Drosophila melanogaster: one gene and its partners. The protein of the gene in region 1 interacts with the protein of each later gene in a pairwise test. Each region holds a gene or a part of one and is shown on either strand. Other genes may lie near its edges.

Region 1 (5,067 bases):
AGGATTTCCTTCTCATCCGCCGAAGCTGCAAGGAGATACAAAAACGGAATATGTTAAATATCAACTAGTACATTGGTACCGGTTTTTGTTTTTGTAGTCAGCATTATACAGGCGGTCTGTAAGCTGCAACAGCCGCCAACCTGTTACTGACTGCTTTGATCTGGGGCAGCCCCAAATCGCACCCTTGTATCTGACCACCGTTTCAGTTCAGACACTGGGAGCAGACTGCCCTGAATACGTACTCAAAGCTTTCGTACTTACAGGATAGCAGACTCTGTTGCACGAACTGCAGGCGGTAGAGAATCGGTTCGGCACTGCTGACGAAGAGCAGGAAGCGACCGCAGGGCGACCAACAGGCTGTTTGGACATAGCCTCCGGGACCGCACACCCATCGCTCGGTGGTCCATTGCTGGTGGCAGTTCCACACGCGGAACACCCGATCCACGGTGGCTGCGAACAGCCAGTCATTATCCGGCGACCACTTCAGCAGCGAGCCCGGCGGACCCAAACGCTTGAGTGGCTGCATCATTCCGGTGTCCGGCTGCCAGATAATAATGGAACGATCTCCTATTGAGGCGGTGGCCAACTGGGTGCCATCCTTGTTCCACTGCATCGAGGTTATTGGCAGATTGTTTGGGCTAAAAGGGAAAATAAGTTATGTATTTACCAACTAACGATAAATTTTCTATACTGACTATTTAAAAATCTCGCTGGGTGCATTTGTGCGTCCCAAATGCAAAGTGCTGTCCACTTCCCAGAAACACAGACCCTGCCGACAACCTATCACGATCTCGGAAGCGCAGAGTGGACGCCACGCCATGCAGGTGATCTGCGTTTGGGATGGACTCTTTAAAACAGTGGCAGTGGTCGCACTGGAACTCTTTGTGTAGATGCGCACCACATCGTCTACACCGGCTACGGCTAAGCAAAAGAAGTGCTGATTCCAGGCAAGATAGCGCACATCGCTGTTGAGCCAATCCCTGAATGAATGGGACAGTAAGGTTTAGGTATTATTGGTCAGTTGGCTGCGCCCCACCCACCTGGTCTCCACGAACTGAGCAATACGCTCTGCACTAAGCTGCTGGGTGTGCGGGAGGATCCTCAGGCCGGTGGCCAGGCCCAGAAATTGTGCGATTAAATCACCCGCCTGGGCAATAAGCGGCGCCTGCTCCCTGGTCTCTGGGCTGCGTGCCTCCTCCAGCGTCTTCCAGAATCCGCCATTAAAGAAGCTGCGAGCTATGCGCTTTAGGACACCCTCATTCACAGATACGAAGCTCTGTCCGCCGTAGTACCGCTGACCAGCCGGATTGGCCAGAAGTTCGCTGTTCAGGTTTATCTGCGGATAGCGTTCCAGCTCTGGGATGTGATTGTGCCGCAGCGCCAGATCCGGCAGCGTGGAGAACGGCGGACACTGTTTTAGGTTGCTCAGGGCCGCCATAATTGCAGACTATTCACATTCAATTCAGTTCAGTTGAGAAAAAATGGTAACGAAATACAAAGAAAAAACCGCGCGGTTATTAGAGGTGAGAAAAAGCCGACAATGTCAGTGGTAATTCGATGCTTAATTTTTCTATCGATGTTTAATTTTACGAAACTTCGAAAATACTGGGCCGCGGCAAAATCTTAAAGATTATCGAAAAATAAAAATTAGGTATATATAAAGTAACAATCTTTTGTAGGTTTTATATTCACGTTGTTTCTCTTTCAAGAACTCTATTTAATCTCATAGATCTCGAACACACTATCGTTTGTTATTAAGACTATGGAATTAGTTCTCTCGATATAAGTGTTACGAAGCATTTTATATTTATACACAGCTTACAATAAATACCTAAAATTGTTTTTATTGTATAGTCATACATCAATTAAAATCTACAACGTAGTTTTATGCTAAATATTATATATTTTATTAGGCCAGAACCTATCGATTGTCTGCAATACATTATTAGTAGGCTATCGATATCCTTTCATTCACCATCTCCATCGCAAAAAAAAATTCCATGAAACTTAATTGACGGATTTGGATTTGGACTGGATTTGTTGTCGGAAAGATTGCTGCGAGATGACGGACAAGCGCAAATATAAGAAGACCGTAAGTTTCACCCGCTGCACGGCAATCATATTTTTAACTACAAAGGAGGTTTCCAAACAGAAAGAGGAAATCAGGCGGGAGATCGCACGGGAATTTGATTTGCCTGAGCGCAAGTCCAAGATAGCCACCATTCTAAAGCAGGAAGACCAAGCGTACTGCATATGCCGCTCCTCCGACTGCTCCAGGTTCATGATGTGAGTTGAATGGCCTTAAAGGGCTAGATCCCGGCTAACTACTTGTACCCTTCGCTTTCCAGAGGCTGCGATGGTTGCGAGGAGTGGTACCACGGCGACTGTATAGGGATCACCGAGAAGGAGGCTAAACACATCAAACAGTACTACTGCCGGCGCTGCAAAAAGGAGAATCCCGAACTACAAACCATATTCCGCCTGGTGGCCACCGAACGGGCAGCCGCATCGAACGCCGCCTCTACAAGTCTCAATGCCCCGGGCGTAGGTCCATCGGGAGCTGCGCCTGCTGCTGCACCGGTGGCGTCCGCAACAACCAGCCAGCAAGCGCCGCCACCGACCACTGCGGCAGCGAAGCGCAAAAACAGCAGCGCCCGAGAACCAAAGATGGGCAAACGTTGTGGTACCTGTGAGGGATGCCGGCGTCCCAATTGCAACCAGTGCGACGCGTGCCGCGTTCGCGTGGGCCACAAGCCGCGCTGCATATTCCGCACCTGCGTTGTCCAGGCGGCGACGGTCTTAAAGGAGTCGCAGGCAACTCAAGCCGGCCCAAGTAGGAAGCGGGAAAAGGCGGCACCCAAGAGTCGCAATGTCCAAGTGGGCCCGCGGGCGGCCAGTCCGGAGATATTCCTCAATCCGGAGCTACAAGGCATCCGGCAGTGCTACGGACCCAATTGCTGCTCCCATGCGAGACCGCAGAGCAAGTACTGCAGCGATAAGTGTGGCTTCAATCTGGCCACAAAACGCATCTTCCAGGTTAGTTTCATTTTTTGGCCAGACTATGACAATTAAACACCAAAGTCCTTTACACTCTCAGGTTCTGCCGCAACGACTGCAAGAGTGGAATCTAACGCCCAGCCGCGCCGCCGAGGAAACACGCAAGCATCTTGATAACATTCGTCATAAGCAGTCCCTGGTGCGTTTCGCACTTGCCGAGCTAGAGAAGCGCTCCGAAGAGCTCAACATGGTGGTGGAGCGAGCCAAACGAAGCTCCATTGATACATTGGGGTCACAAGACACCGCCGACATGGAGGACGAACAGAGCATGTACTGCATCACCTGTGGCCACGAGATTCACTCGCGCACTGCCATCAAGCATATGGAGAAGTGCTTCAACAAATACGAATCGCAGGCCAGCTTCGGGAGCATATTCAAAACGCGAATGGAGGGAAACAATATGTTTTGTGATTTCTACAATCCGGCAAGTAAGACTTACTGTAAGCGATTGAGAGTATTGTGTCCGGAGCACAGCAAGGATCCGAAGGTGAACGATACGGATGTGTGTGGTTCGCCCTTAGTGAACAACGTCTTCAATCCCACGGGCGAGTTTTGTCGTGCGCCAAAGAAGAATTGCTTCAAGCACTACGCCTGGGAGAAGATCCGGCGTGCTGAGATAGATCTGGAGCGTGTGCGTCAATGGCTCAAGATGGACGACCTGATGGAGCAGGAGCGCGTGATGCGGCAGCAGCTCACCTCGCGAGCGAACCTGCTCGGCCTGATGCTGCACTCCACCTACAACCACGAGGTGATGGACGAGCTGGTGCGCAAACAGCAGGAGCATCTGGTAGAGTTCGAGAAGCAGAGGCGACGCCTGGCTCACCAGCAACAAATACAAACACAGCAGAAACAGTACCAGGAAAAGCAGAAGCTAATGTTGCAGCAACAACAGCAACAGCAACAACAGCAGCAGCAACAACAACAGCAGCAACAACAGCAGCAGCTGCAACAACCACAGCAGCAGCAACAACAGCAGCAGCAACAACAGCAGGAGCAACAGCAACTGCAATTGAAGCCACATCATCTGCAGCAACTTCAACTTCAACTGTTGCAGCAGCAGCAAAAGAAGGCCCAAATACCACAGAAAACTCAAATTATATACCTGCAGAAAAAAACATAGATTTGTAGTCCCCTAATCATAGCAAGAACTAACAATAAACTGACGTCCAAGAAATATTTTTCTACGACAGTAATCTTTGGACTTACCCGACGCAAAGTTTCTAGTGTCGCCTTTCTCCTGGCAACCGCATAACACGCTCGCCAGCTGTTGGGTCCGCTTCCCGGCCAGTAGTAGGTTGCTACGCGCCGGGATCGGCGGTACGCCCATGTTTGTTATTGAAAACTAAGCATCAAATATGCATTTATTGATAGCAACATGCTATTAATACATTAGGCCAGCTCAACCGTGGATATCATTCACATGGATTACATTAGCACACACCTTAATATTAGTTTATTAGCTGGATTCAAGTTATTTATAATTTCTATATACGATTTGTTTTCTGTTCATTGTTAGTTTGTATTTAGAAATAATCTAGAAAATAAGTTAGCATATTAAATACATTTTCTTAAGCTGTAGGCTTTTTTTAATAATGCAGGTTAATATTACTGCATTAAACAAAGTCATGAAAAAAAGAATACTCTACGCTCAACATATTTTGAAGATCATATAGACATAGGCCACCGAGTCCGGGTTTTGATATCCGAAACAATGGTTCCGGGTAAATGAAGAGCGGGGGGCAACCATTGGAAACGGCAGGACCTTGAAAACGATGGAGGCTATGGATTAGAGTGGGCATGCTGTAGTTGGGAGCCAAAAGGAATGTCAGGACGCACAAGTGCAGTGGAAATTTCAAGCGAGTCTGAACGAATCCGGCTACCCGGGCAATCAAGTAGTCGTGGCGATTTGTGACTGTTCCCCCAGACGAACTGTCAAAAATGCCAGTCGTTGTCCGGAACTTTTCTACATCACACACGACCTGCTGATTCAAAGCCAGGAATACAGTTCAT
Region 2 (4,568 bases), on another chromosome or scaffold:
TACGCCGCTTGGACGCCTCCATTAGGAATGATTTGCTGGAGAAGCAGAAAATCATTTGTGATATCTTCCGTTTGCCAGTGGAACACTACGACCAGATTGTGGACATTGCCATGATGCCAGAGGCGCCGAAAGACAGTGCAGATATTGCTTTAGCTGCTTACGATCAGATTCAAACCCTGACCAAGATGCTGAACGAGTACATGCACGTCACGCCTGAGCAAGAGGTCTCAGCGGTGTCCACGGCGGTTTGTGGCCACTGTCACGAGAAGGAAAAGCTTCGTAAGAAGGTGGCACCATCCTCATCGTTTTCTTCATCACCACCACCGCTGCCGCCTCCCAATAGGCAGCATGCCCAGGCTCAGGCCCAGATACCGCCATCGCGGCTGATGCCCAAACTACAAACTCTTGATCTTGACGAAGTTGCCATACACGAAGACGATGACGGATACTGTGAGATCGACGAACTGCGCTTACCGGCTATTCCGTCCAAACCACATGAGCGGCCCACAACGCCACTGGCTCCTTTCAATACTGAGCCGAAAACTTCACAATCTGTTATAGATGCCTCGAAACGTCAATCCACTGATGCCGTTCCGGAGGGATTACTGGAACAAGAACCACTCGAAGGCGATAAGACGGAGACCAAGGGTGAAGATAATGAAGTGAAAACTGTGCCGTCAGATAAGCTAAGTGAATCATGCAATGAAGAGAGGCAATGTGTGGAGGCGGATATCACAAAGGAAGTGGCAGATCCAACGACCTCTAAGAATGAAGCTGCAGCATCGGTGGATGAATTACCAAGCCAGAGCCGGGAGATAAAAACGGCTGAAAACGCAAGCAAATCTGTAGCTGACAAAAAGGAAGACAACGAGGAAACCGTAAGTATACAAAATGTTATCAATTTGTGACAAGTTATCTTTTAATTAATGTCCTCCTACAGATCGAAGAAGGTGTGGCATCCACGGTCGATAGCTCCACTCAAACATCACCAACTGAATCGCCGAAAGAGACGGATAAGTTAACTGGAGGATCGAGCAGCACCTGTGGGCCGAATCGCATTCAGCACGCTAGTGTGCTGGAGCCGAGTGTGCCCTGCCATGCACTCAGCAGCATTGTAACAATACTGAATGAGCAGATTTCCATGCTTTTGGTAGGTTCTAACTTATTTAAGCCGAGATAAGAACTATAATTTCTATTTACCTAATAACAGCCAAAAATTAACGAACGCGATATGGAAAGGGAGCGATTGCGTAAAGAGAATCAACACCTTCGCGAGCTCTTGAGTGCGCTGCATGATCGACAGCGAGTTGATGAAGTAAAGGTAATGACTCAAAATAAATAAAGTAGAATATCAGAAATGTTGATACTGTGTCTTTTCGCAGGAAACTCCGTTTGATCTAAAGAAGCTGATGCATGCTGAGGATGTAGAGTTTGACGATGATATTGACGCCATTTCCAACAGTTCGCTGACGCCAACGCCTACGCCGATTCCCACAGCATCACCAAGCGCCAGCGGCCAGGTAGAGACAGCGGAAGCCATGAGGATTACTAGCACTGAGGATGAGGAATAGGAAACTTGTTTAATTTTTTTTTGTATAAAATACATATTTGTTCTTGTTTTTCCCGCACGCATTTGACCAATTGAATTGGCGGCGTCTATGTTTTACGAGTAGCCTTTCTTAGAGCATGCCTTTTACTACTGTTAATGTAGCTTCATTTGTTTTCTTAAAATATTATGTATTCCACAAGAGCCGATAACACTTTAAATTAAGTCTAACATTGTCCCCTCGTAAAACTAATTAAATACATATATATATGCATATTATCGACTTAAAAAATATCAGATAAACACACAATGTTTGATACATTTATAAAGAACAATAAACAACATAGTTATTGAGAAGAATAGCACAAAAATGTCCATATACATATCTTTCCCGTAAAGGGAAAATAAAGTGAAAAGTAGACACGTTAGTGCGGCATCACCTCTTCCAAACGAGTGATTCTATAAATAAGTCATCATCTCGTTCGAGCTATGCACGCAATTAGCAAAAGTACTTAGCAATACGACAGGGCTCCTGAAAAAGAGGGATATTCCTCAGCCAGCAGCACTGCAGAGTATATTTATAATTGCTCAGTGCGTTTTAGGTGAGTAGACGAACCACAAGCCACGACGGCGATGGCAGAATCACTAAATTACTTTTCTCGCCAGGCAACAGACGTAATCGATGCAAGAATTTGGCGAAAATATTCAGCATGCTCACGATGAGAAGTTGGGCAGGTAAGTTCAAATAGCTTTCTAAAACAATAGTTAAAGTGTAATTCTGTGCAGGCATCTGGTGGCTAGTATAGCCATCGAACCGGGAGATACCATATTGGAGGAGCGACCCTTGCTGGTAGCTCCACACTGGGAATGCCATCAGCTGAAGTGCGCGCAATGCCTTCAGGAATCCTATGTGATATGCCGAAGGTGTCAGGTATTTCCCCTGTGCATGGACTGCAACCAGCATGATGAATTCGAGTGTGAGTTTTTCACCAGCGGAGCAGGAAAAGCCCTCTGCAAGGATATTCTTGTGAAGAACTTTGGCATATGTGGACTCCTAAAGCTCCTTCTTCTGCTAGAGAATCCTCGTACAAAAGGCGATTGCCAAATGCTCATCGATGTTCCTATAAATCTGAGTGATTACCGCGACGGAGAAGGAATGTGGCAAGAGCACGAGGAGCTAGTGGTGCGTCCACTAATGGAGAGTGGCCTAGCGGATGTTCTACCCACTCAGGAGCTAACTTCGGATGCACTTCACGCCCATTGCATACGTATCGACAGTAATTCCTTCGAGGTGACCGCAAAGGATGGTGATACCTTGAAGGGAATTTTTGTTTGGGGTGCTACTTTACCGCACCACTGCGTTCCAAACACGGTGGTGGCCTTGGATGAACAGTTCAACATGAAGCTATATGCGGCGGTTCCCCTGCAGCCTGGCGACATCATCTACAACTCGTACACCAATCCTCTGATGGGCACCAGTCAGAGACAACACCAACTGCGTCTAAGTAGAAGACTGGAGTGTATCTGCTCGCGCTGTCTGGATCCGACCGAGATGGGCACCCACATGAGCAGCCTGAAGTGCAAGGAGTGCCCCGGATTTTCAGTTTGCGAGATTGATTCAAATGGAAAACTTGGAGACTGGCGCTGCCCGGATTGTAGAGCCCTGTTAACCGCTGCCGAGGTCCACGAACTACAGGCTGCAGTGGGATCGGCCTTAGTAGACGCCATGGGTGACCTGCAGGTATACGAAGCTCTACTGACCCAGTACGGGCCACTGCTCCATCCCAATCATTTCATGCTGCTGGACATCAAGCAGAACATTGCCAGTATTCTGCGAGCGGCTGCTTTAATGAACTCCATGGACCAGCCGTGCAAGAAACTTCTCGCCCGCCGGGTGGAACTCTGCTCCGACTTACTGCCCGTCTGTCGGGCTGTGGTTCCAGGCATCTCCAAGCTGTATGCCATTGGTCTGTTTGAGTACTTGCTGGCCTTGGTGGAGCTGGTGGAATTGCAATTTGCCGAAAGTGATCTGAGCAAAAAAGAATATGTGGTGAGTAAAGTGAATACCCTTTTAAAATTGCAATTATTAAATAAATGCAATTCACAGGCTCATTTAAGGACCGCGAGTCTGGTGGCCACGGAAGCAATGGACCTACTTCGCTTTGAGCCAGAAAACTCGGCAGAAGGCTATCTTGCAGACCGGATTTCAATGGAGCTGGAGCGGATTGAGTCCGATTTGAAGAAATACGGCAGATAATATCCCCATTTTGGGTACATATCTTATATCCACTTTGTGGCCCTGCTCCGGCAATTTTTAGTCTAAAACAAATTTGATTAGTCGAAGGGAAGCGAACACAATGCGCTCCCTTCAGTTGTTGCCACTTTTACATTGTGTACCGGCGACATGGTTCAACGTATGGCTGGGTGGGGGGAATCATTGACCAAGAAATAAATAAAGAATTGTCGTTCAATTAAAAATAAGTTGCCAGCATGGCGCTGGTTGTGTTGTCAGTATGCCAAAGGTAGCCAAAGGGAACGGGAAACAGAGAATGGCCGCAGTAACCGACGATTTTGCAAGGAAGTGCGAGATAAAGCAGAATGACACGCTGGGCAGGTGGGTGCATCTATAACCCATTTAAAATATTTAACCCCTGTGGGTTTCCCTGAAGATTTGCGGTTGCCCTCTGTAATGTTCGGGCTGGCGAGACCCTGCTGCTGGAGAATCCTATCGTGGTTTTGCCCCTAATGGGCGAAAGACGCTGCTCCAAGTGCTTTAATCTAACCGAGAGTTTTTGTCGGTAGGTGGACTCCATACAAATGTGTTATCCATTTACGAATCTTATGTAAACCCTTAGAAAGTGCCGTCTGTTAGCTTTGTGTGAGGATTGCTCGGATCATGACGAACGAGATTGCAAAAGGCTTGCTGAAATGAATTTTTCGGACGACCAGGTGGAGCTGCTTCAGAAAAAGGAGCACACCGAAATCCAGCCAGTTTTGAAATGCCTGCTGTTAAGAGAGCACG
Region 3 (4,928 bases), on another chromosome or scaffold:
AATGCTTCTCCATGACACAGAGCCCATGACCAGATCCGCCGCATTAGCTACATATATGTGTAGTATCACCATGGTGTGCGTGCTGATGATAAGCGCACGGAGAATCAAATCGTGCGCCAGCCGATCAATAACCCAAAATGTAAACAAAACCAACTGTCGAACGCGGTCACGCATGCGTTCGAATAGCCTACTGAAATACTACCAATCGCAATTTGGCCCACTATTAGTTGGTTAACTGGTTTTCTTGCGAGGGGGAGAAGCTGACATTTCCAAGACGATCCGCATTCTATGCAGATTAGAGCCGCCACCGCCGAAAGGCAAGCGATTTTCCAGCTGCGCGAGCAGGAAACTCGTTCCGTTCGCAGGTTAATGACACAAACATTATGTTATTAATGCAGTTGCAGTATATGGCCATTAGCTAACAAAACCCCACCGATGAGCTAATGATGTACGAGCGGTCAGTCAGCAGGCACGCAATATAATCGCACTGAATTATCTACGGACAGGCAATTTCGAAACATCAAAGAATTCGAAAGAAGCTGACACAGCTGGACATGCGATGCGCAGCGAAATGGATATATTTTCAGTCTCAGTCTGCGGCAGAAGAAAGTGTGTGGAATTGAATTAACAAGACGGCAACAATTTCTAAACAAAAGCGTGTCTTAGAGGGCAATATATGTGGAAATTGTAGTAAAATTGATAAGCTCTTAAAATCTCATTAAAAATAAAACTATAATAATGAATCCAGAAGTTCCGAAGAGCATGTCAAAATAGCAACCCAGCCCTGAAGCTAACAGAAATTCAACACACCACTCGGCAGGCGAGTTACCGCTCTGGAAAAGCGATTTTCCAATGCGCAGGCTCACTCATCAGTCAGGAAATTACGGAAAAATGCGAGAGGGTGGAGAAATTGTGTGCGAGAGCGGAGCATAAATGAAAATGTGTTACAGCCACTTGGCTGGCAGGGAAGGAAGGTAGGGAATCTGCATAAACTGCCTATGCCACGTTATGATGAATCATCTGGTTGGGTTAGGCATGCCACATTTCACGTGAACTTCGGAGTGGGAGTTGGTGGAAATGGGTGGTTATCGGTGGTGGGCGGGGGTTCAGTCATTTGCCTGCCCAAAGGAGTGGAGTACATAAATGATGTATGACCCAAGCCAGACAGCGTGACTGCGGCTAATGGCAGCTGTTTTAGCTGGCCAACGACCATTTGGCAGACGTTCTACGGAAAGCATTCTTCGATTATTATCTATAATCAATACAAGAAGTTACGACAAACGACTTCCGGCATTACACAAACGAGAAAGGTTGCCCAAAATGGAAATCAATCGAGTCATTAGAAGGCGAGGGTCGCCACGCCACTGAAAATGCAAATGATTCGAAGTTTTTCTCCCAAGAACCATTGATTGGAAACGCTAGTCGAGGGGCTCCCAATCGCATCGATACGTCTGAATGCGCAGAAAAGATTTACGTGTGACTTCGGTTCCAAAAGCTTGATTATGACCACATATATTTCCATAAACAAAGCGAAGCTTTAGTCAGCGCCAAGCTCGAATTACTGTGTTTGTTTCTTTTTTTTTTTTTTTTGTATTTAACGTTTTCAGTATTTCGATATGGTGTTCCAAACGAGTTTAACGAAAAGACCTCAAAGATAGCCAAGTTAGTTCTTAGTCACTGCAAGGCACAGATACAATTCAACTTCCGCTAACTTTCATCAACAACAATGTTGAATCTGATTAAGATATCATACTACATTATTACAACGAAATGAGTACATTAAATAAGTTGGAGATTACTCCTAACATACTCTAATCCATGTTGTACAATAAGATTTAAAGTAAGCCATTAAAATGGTTTATACATACATATATCTTAGGAAAATGAAAGAGATGTTTAGAGTTACGGAAGTAGGCCTGCACTGCAGAACTCCAGTAGTGCACCTCGCTCGTGGCTAGCGATAATTATCAAGTTAATAACTCAACACTAATTAGTCAGGTGCTTTGATGGACGGTCGGGCTGGTGCGGGAGGGGCGGGGCAATGCGACCCTAGGTCGCGGACCAAAAACAAAAAGCCAGTATATCGCGCCGTCCAATGTGAAAACGAAAGCGATACGATTTTTTTTTGTCGGCGAGCAGGAAAATCGGCCGCTGGATGGGAAACGAAAATCAAAGTCGAGAAACGAAAAGCCCAGGTGGAATGCGGCGGAATGGGAAACTGGAGCTCTCGAAAGCAAACCAAATGCCAGGTAAATTAAATCGCAGCATCGGCGGCGGTAGCAAATCAACTTAATGACGATGGCTGGCAACTTTTCCAACAGTTTTTTCTTCCATTTTTTTTCTATTTTTTGTATTTTATCTGGCGATCGGATCGTGAGGTGAAATGAATTTAAGTTGCCTTTTTTAGGAGCCACAATAAAGGGGCTAAAAAATCGATGAGTGCTCAATTAACTGTTATTCGTAGTACGCCCACACACACACTCACGCGCGCGCACACATACAGATGCAGATACACTTGCAAATAAATAAAAATACATATGTATTACCTTTTTTAGTTGAACTTTTGGTGGCTTTTTGGCAATTGTCTCAACAAAACAACATCGTTTTCGCAATTGGGCCACTCCCACTACGATTTTTCGTTGCCAATATTACAATCCGGGCTTTATTTAGTTGCCCACCACTGTTAAATACAATTTACTTTTTGCAGTTATGTCAACTTCTCTCTTTCAGCGCGGCGTCCTTTGTTGTTGTCGTTGCAAAATTGTTCGTGTAAATTATGTACAATGGTGGTTGTTTCAGGTTGCAGGTGGTCTAAAACACTCGCGTTCGTTGGGTTTACGTGGTTTCGATTGCACTAGGTGCCGCACGCATAATTTGCAAATTGCAAATCGTCGTTTTCGTTTGTAATTTGGCTATTGGCTGGCTTTAACACGGAGAAAACTTTCGACGTTTCTTGTTGGTTTTCTTATAATGGTTGGATCGGCCAGTGTGTGCACACCGCGTCAAAAGTAAAACTCGGCGAACAGTTACTCGCATAGGGTGACCATCACATGGATGGTCATACAAAATAATGGTTACTACTGCAGGGCTTTGCCTGCAAATGCAGTGACATGGTCTGCCTAAGAAAGTAACAGTTCAATCACTGCTTTGCTGCCTGGGCTGCCAGGTAACAAAAAGTTATTAAAAACACAACTACTTCTCCTCTTAAGTTATTTGCAGCTAAATGGCAGAAAGTCTTTTATTTTCTACATCAATTGTAGACATTCATTTTACTTTAAAAACTATGTCCTTAAAAACATTTCTGGAATATCGATAGTTTCAGTTGACTTGGCAACCCTATTGCTGACGCCGCAATCAAAGGCCAACAAATTTGTTTACATCCAAAGAAATGCTAATAAATCATTTAATAGTCGTATTATTAATTAGTTTGGTAGGAACAGGAGGTGCAGAAGATGACGGACTTTGCAGTGCCGATCAAAAATCCTGTGCACAAAGTGAACCCGACCAAATAAACGAGGATGAATGTAAGCAACTTGTTGCCGGCTTCGATTAATTAATTAATCAATTAATTTAGTTAGCTTCAAGATACGTCGCCAGATCGAAAAAGCCAATGCCGACTACAAGCCGTGCAGCAGTGATCCCCAGGACAGCGACTGCTCCTGCCACGCAAATGTTCTGAAACGGGATCTCGCGCCCTACAAGTCAACAGGTGTCACCCGGCAGATGATCGAGAGTTCAGCGCGTTACGGCACCAAATACAAGATCTACGGACATCGCCTGTACCGGGATGCCAACTGCATGTTCCCAGCCCGCTGTGAGGGCATTGAACACTTCCTGCTGCCGCTGGTGGCTACGCTGCCCGACATGGACTTGATCATCAATACCAGGGACTATCCGCAGCTGAATGCGGCGTGGGGTAACGCGGCTGGTGGTCCCGTCTTCTCCTTCTCCAAGACAAAGGAGTACCGCGACATCATGTATCCAGCGTGGACATTCTGGGCCGGAGGACCGGCCACCAAGCTCCATCCTCGTGGCATTGGACGCTGGGATCAGATGCGCGAGAAGCTGGAGAAGCGAGCGGCAGCTATACCCTGGTCACAGAAACGCAGTCTGGGCTTCTTTCGCGGTTCACGCACCTCGGACGAACGTGATTCTCTTATTCTGCTCTCGCGCCGCAATCCGGAGCTAGTCGAGGCTCAATACACCAAAAATCAGGGCTGGAAGTCGCCTAAGGATACACTGGACGCACCGGCTGCTGATGAGGTGTCCTTCGAGGACCACTGCAAGTACAAGTACTTGTTCAATTTCCGCGGTGTGGCCGCCAGTTTTCGTCTGAAGCACTTGTTCCTCTGCAAGTCGCTGGTCTTCCATGTGGGCGACGAGTGGCAGGAGTTCTTCTACGACCAACTAAAGCCCTGGGTGCACTATGTGCCGCTCAAGAGCTACCCCAGTCAGCAGGAGTACGAGCACATCTTGTCCTTTTTCAAGAAAAACGATGCGCTGGCCCAGGAGATCGCTCAGCGTGGATACGACTTCATCTGGGAGCATTTGCGCATGAAGGACATCAAGTGCTATTGGCGCAAGCTGCTCAAGCGATATGTGAAGCTGCTGCAATACGAGGTTAAGCCGGAGGATCAACTTATTTACATAGGGCCTAAAAAGGATGAGCTGTAGCGAAATGAAATGTTATTGTGTTTAAGCATTTCTCATTTTGTATTAAGTTGCTTAGAGCAGCGTGAATCTCTCTGTCCGCATTCCATGCATTTTTGATGTCCAAGATTTAGAGAACAACTCGAATATTTTCCTATTTATATATATAGCATTTATACAATCTTTATAACAATCGAAAGCCATTTGTTTTAAGACTCAAAGTTTAAAATATATTTGGAAGAAATATGTAAATTCTCTTTAAATTTTAATTATGACCC
Region 4 (4,877 bases), on another chromosome or scaffold:
GGCCCCGTACCGTATCTATCAATGCCCACAATTTTCATGGTCGCAACTTTTAATGGCCCCGCAGCTGGAGAGATTGCCTATGCAAGTGGGAAATTTCGAATTTGCATTTCCTGCTCGTTGAGTTTTCACTTTGCCAGCGACCAAGGGTCTCCGTCTCATCATCATCATCATCATCATCGTCATTCCAATGGCCCGCCGCTGACTTCATCCAGAGTCCGCTATCATTAAATGCAATGATTCATCCATCCATCCATCGGAATAACCAGCGACTAAGTTCAATTGAAATTGAACACATACACATATGGAGGACTCAGGCCGAGAGAACAAGAACAAGTTTTGGCCAACTAGATGCAGCCACACCTATAAAGAACCGATCAGAAAACCAGCCTAGACCCAAGACAAAGACCAGATCCCATATACCCAATGCTAGATACCACCAGCACCCCACTCCGGATCCGAACTCACCACAAAGCCATAACTGACAATCAATTCAACTTAAGCTGGCTCTTTGCCGCGCCTTGGTCTTTTTGTCTAGACTCCGCGTTGCTGTCTTAAGTCTTTTGATTTGTTTTCCTTTTTTTTTCTCAGTTTCTGTATTTGTTTTCTTCTGGACTGGAATTGAAATTGTCGAAATTGAATTACGATCGCTGCCTGTCGGTCCGCTTCTAAACGCTTTTTTTTCTCTCTGCCCCGGAATGGCTTGATATCTTTTTTGCGGGGGGCCTGAACAGCAGCCACAAATCAGGGAGCCCCGTTAGCGGTCATAATAATACTGTTAACTAATTTACGCCACAAAAAACGGCGGCAAAAAGCGACGACAATGGGAAAATCTAGAAAAACAATCCAGCAAGTCAGCTCGAAGAAGCAAAATACATTTTGGAACTTTTTCAATGAGCTTGGCCATGGCTTTAACAGCATTCTAACGGTCCGGCCAACATGACATGGCTAATTAGGTGCGAGATTCAGTGAAATGGACCCGAAACGGAGGCTGGGAATTTGCATTGCGAAGGGCCAAAGGCATTAGCTTGACAATAATCTGCAGTTGGGGGGGCCCTGAGAATGGTGCTAAAGCCCCAAATTATCTCAATCGCCAAAATCTCCATTAGCCCGCAGCTCATTTTCGATGAGAAATCAAGTTCCGCGGCACGAAATTTTGAAAGTGATTGTGAGCGCAGATTGGCAGCTGCATCGAAATTGCAAAATGAATGTGAAAGTTGCTTAGCCGCGTGGTTATTCTTTATGAGCCGATATAGGAAGAGTACACGCCGGAATAAAGTATTTGCCTCTACCCAGCGAAAAATGTCTTTCAGACCTGTTATGGCTTTCACATCTTGTTCGAAATTAAATCCATCGCTCTCCGGGTCATCGAAATACGTGACAAACTTTATTCTTCTTTAAACATATATTGCAATCATTTATTACAGAAATGAGTAGATTAAATTGAATGGTTATATAAAGTCAAAGTCTTTTGCGTTATTGCAAAAAAAAAGAACCCATAAGCTATGCAAACTATTCTAAGGCGCATAAAAAGTTATTTATGTGCTTAAAGTATAAACATAAAAACAAATAATGGCTATAGTGCTCGATCGTAAGTTTAAGGCAGTTTTTACGAGGAAATGACCAGACCAAGACGATGCTAGCATCTGCGGGTAGAGCAAACAACCAGCGATCCCCGGAGAGCTAAGAACCCAGCTCCGCAAAGAGGCAATGGCAAAGGCAAAGACAGCCGGCCAAACAAACAAACAAACTGAAACTTGTATCTGTGAGATACACACTGGCACACAGCGAGAAATACTACATAATGATATGTGATATAAAAATGTTGGAAATATAATTTGAACTATTAAAAAACAAAATATCAAATATTTTGAATGAAACAGTTTACTAAATAATTAAATAAATTTGTTTTATTCAATTTGCAACAAGGATATATCTTTTTACACTATACTAATGCTATAGCCATTAGCTGAAACATGAAATGAAGCCATTTGATGAAACAAAACATAAATATTTAAAATATGATATATTGCTTGTATATTAGATTTATTATCTCGCTTTTTTTCCTGTGCAGCGGAGCAGTGAGCTGCAGAGAAAATAAAAGACAAGACAAACCGAGCCGAGTGGAGTTGAGTTGAGCAGCAGGCACTTGGCTGTTTGAGCGACTCCGGCTTTGGCTGGCACTTGGGTTCTGGTTTTGGCATCGAGTTGGACTTCCACTTTGGATCGCTTGGGCTCTGCAGGGCGCTGAGCGCAGGGAGAGCGGCAAAGAAGTGCCAGCAGTGGCAGTGGTGGATGGAGTGTGGGCTAAGATACATTTGCTAGACAAAACCCGCTCGCGGGATCTTTGACCTGCGATGGTGACGACCGCGCGAGCAGAACAGAACAGAACAGAAGAACAGAAGAGGGGGGGAGTACAAAAAAACAGAAGAACCAGAAGGTATTAGTATTATACCCAAAGGAATGGAACGTGGACCGTGGTGGATACTCGTCGGTTTCATTTGGTTCGAGGTGGCAAGTGCTGCCGTTGGCCTAATACAATTAACAGTAAATACCAGTTGGCCAGTTGGACTCTAATTAGCCGCTCGGTGACACTCATTCATAACTTGGGCAAAACACTTACATTACAATGTCGATCTGCTGGCTACACCGATGTCTGCATATTTTATATAGACCATATAGACACTGCTCACACACACACTCACGTCACTTGGATATTGGCCACTTTTTCCTTTTTTTATTTTTTTTTTTTTTTTGTATCTATTGGATATTCCGCGAGTCAACAAATAACCACATTTGCATGCACTTCCCGGTGGTCATTAAAAAATATTCGCCTTTGCACAGATATATGTGTGTATATTATAGCCCGTTAAGCCGTGAATATTTCAATTAGATTTCCAAATGCGTTTTATGTGTTTTCATATTTTTTTTTTGTAATTTTCTTCTGGGAACTGTGTGTTAGGGGGCCGCCAGAAAAAAATCGAATCGACGCGAACCGCGGATCGGTGGAGGCAACTCTCTCGGAGCTCGGCTCGCAGCGAACTGATCTGAACTTGGCCTCGGCCGCCATCTTAGCCCGCTTGCTTCGCCTGGAAGCGAGTTGGCCGGAGAGAGCCGCTTTCCAGGCGGAGCGGAGCGGTTCAAGCCATGCCAATTGGAATGGCAAGCAACAGTTTCAGTTCAGTTGGAACAGAGCGCTCAGTTGGTGAGGACGTGTTCGCGGAGGTAAGTGACTACCGAAGAATATTTTAATAAAGCATCTAAAATATCATATAAAATATGTATTAAAGTTTTTTGAAAAAATATGTGTTGGATTTTTCCTAATTGTTTATTGTGTAAAATTTTAGTTTTCAGTTTTAGCCAAATACCAATTTATAATCAAGTATCTCTACATCTCAATCTCACTTTTACACTCTTGATATTCTCTCTTCCCTCCCTGGAACTGAAAATCAGCTCCTAACAAACCACTCTTGAGTTACGAACAGAGTGTTTTCGGCCCAAAGAGCACGAGAAGTATAAACAAACAAAAGCGGCTCTCCCAGCGGTGGCTATGAAAATGATCGGCAGCGACTACGTACTGGAAGCCCACAACATTTTCCACACCACCGAGGTACGTTCTCTTTAGACTCGTGAAAACCCCCTGCTATTAAACCTTTATTGTTTTCTTTTTGGCCTGAACAACAGGTGGATGGTGGTGGCTGTTTCAATGGAGCCGGCAATTCGGCCCTGGTGCTCAAAGGCGTCAATCTAACCGTGCACAGCGGCGAGGTTATGGCCATTCTGGGCTCGAAGGGTATATTTTTAATTTACATTTTGTTAAAACAAAATAATAATAATCATTTTACCAACTTTAGGTAGCGGCAAGAGAGCTCTTTTAGATGTTATTTCTAGACGTGCCGATGGAGCAACTCGTGGTCAGGTGCTACTCAATGGATCTCCGCTCTCCAAGGCATTGTTCCAACAGAGATGTGGCTATGTCACCCAATCCTGCACCTTTGTTCCTGGTCTAACGGTGGCCCAAACACTACACTATACCCCCACTATAGTGAGTATTTGTATAAAATAATGAATATGAAGAGATTTTAAGTAATAACTGACTGTGTTAATACCCAAACCCTTCTTAGTTGAGTGGCTATCTGAAGAGTTCCAAAGTGCGCCAAGTGCTGGCGGATTTGGCCCTTTCCCAAGTGGCGCATAAGAGAGTGGAGTATCTTAATATCAGTGAGGCACGGCGTCTGGCTATTGGAATACAGTTGGTCAGAGATCCTGGTAAAATGATGAATATATCACAAAGATTCCTTAAATAACAAAAATGTTATTTTAGTCATGCTATTGCTGGATGAGCCGACCCATGGCCTCGATCCCTTGAGTGCCTATCTGCTGATATCCATTTTGTCCAACACGGCCAAGAAGACGGGCTGTGGAATTCTTCTGTCGCTGGAGAAACCTCGCTCCGATGTGTTCCCATTCCTGGATAGAGCCCTATTCCTCTGCCTGGGCGGAGTGGTCTATTCAGGAGGCACTCGTGCCATGCTGGAGTACTTTCATGGCATCGGATTCCCTTGTCCACAGCTCGAGAATCCCTTGATGTACTATCTCTGCCTGTCCACTGTGGATCGTCGCAGTCGGGATCGATTCCTGGAGTCTAGCCAGCAGATCGAGGCGCTGGTGGAACGTTTCTCTCGGGAAACACCGATCTCGGATGCCCCTCTAAACAACATGGGTTCTGGGAAAGTGCCTCTGGCCTATGGAAAGCCTGGAGAGCTCAAAGTTTGGGTTATGCTGTATCTGTAAGTTAAACTTACTTCTTTTTTTTCAAATATGATAAAATTCTTGACTTCGTTTTTAGGAAACTATTAGCATCAACCTTCTCCTGTGGA

What was found.
Region 2: the proteins of Cfp1 (region 1) and SmydA-7 interact in a two-hybrid assay, tested with the Drosophila melanogaster proteins (one large-scale study listed by BioGRID).
Region 3: the proteins of Cfp1 (region 1) and Usp12-46 interact in a two-hybrid assay, tested with the Drosophila melanogaster proteins (one large-scale study listed by BioGRID).
Region 4: the proteins of Cfp1 (region 1) and CG31121 interact in a two-hybrid assay, tested with the Drosophila melanogaster proteins (one large-scale study listed by BioGRID).

Annotation. Positions count from the first base shown.
Region 1 is NC_004354.4:9,269,885-9,274,951, reverse strand, and holds Cfp1 (CXXC finger protein 1), read left to right. Parts: upstream 1-1,991; 5' UTR 1,992-2,062; coding exon 2,063-2,286; intron 2,287-2,348; coding exon 2,349-3,036; intron 3,037-3,097; coding exon 3,098-4,177; 3' UTR 4,178-4,518; downstream 4,519-5,067. Other genes in the region: aladin, read right to left, coding at 1-25, 262-638, 696-980, 1,041-1,438. UniProt on the Drosophila melanogaster protein: Component of the SET1 complex that specifically di- and trimethylates 'Lys-4' of histone H3. Essential for Set1 association with chromatin and trimethylation of histone H3 at 'Lys-4' at transcription puffs.
Region 2 is NT_033778.4:17,042,750-17,047,317, forward strand, and holds SmydA-7 (SET and MYND domain containing, arthropod-specific, member 7), read left to right. Parts: upstream 1-1,993; 5' UTR 1,994-2,148; intron 2,149-2,200; exon of another isoform or gene 2,201-2,212; 5' UTR 2,213-2,228; coding exon 2,229-2,281; intron 2,282-2,332; coding exon 2,333-3,596; intron 3,597-3,653; coding exon 3,654-3,803; 3' UTR 3,804-4,019; downstream 4,020-4,568. Other genes in the region: RhoGEF2 (Rho guanine nucleotide exchange factor 2), read left to right, coding at 1-878, 941-1,150, 1,211-1,321, 1,383-1,571; SmydA-6 (SET and MYND domain containing, arthropod-specific, member 6), read left to right, coding at 4,096-4,160, 4,216-4,344, 4,402-4,568.
Region 3 is NT_033777.3:22,748,985-22,753,912, reverse strand, and holds the start of Usp12-46 (Ubiquitin-specific protease 12/46), read right to left. Parts: upstream 3,013-4,928; 5' UTR 2,547-3,012; intron 1-2,546. Other genes in the region: rumi, read left to right, coding at 3,389-3,524, 3,575-4,674; CG31139 (uncharacterized protein), read left to right, coding at 4,922-4,928. UniProt on the Drosophila melanogaster protein: Catalytic component of the Usp12-46 deubiquitylase complex.
Region 4 is NT_033777.3:24,891,565-24,896,441, forward strand, and holds the start of CG31121 (uncharacterized protein), read right to left. Parts: upstream 3,042-4,877; 5' UTR 2,621-3,041; intron 272-2,620; exon of another isoform or gene 11-271; intron 1-10. Other genes in the region: CG11069 (uncharacterized protein), read left to right, coding at 3,548-3,607, 3,682-3,790, 3,852-4,042, 4,122-4,266, 4,322-4,787, 4,847-4,877.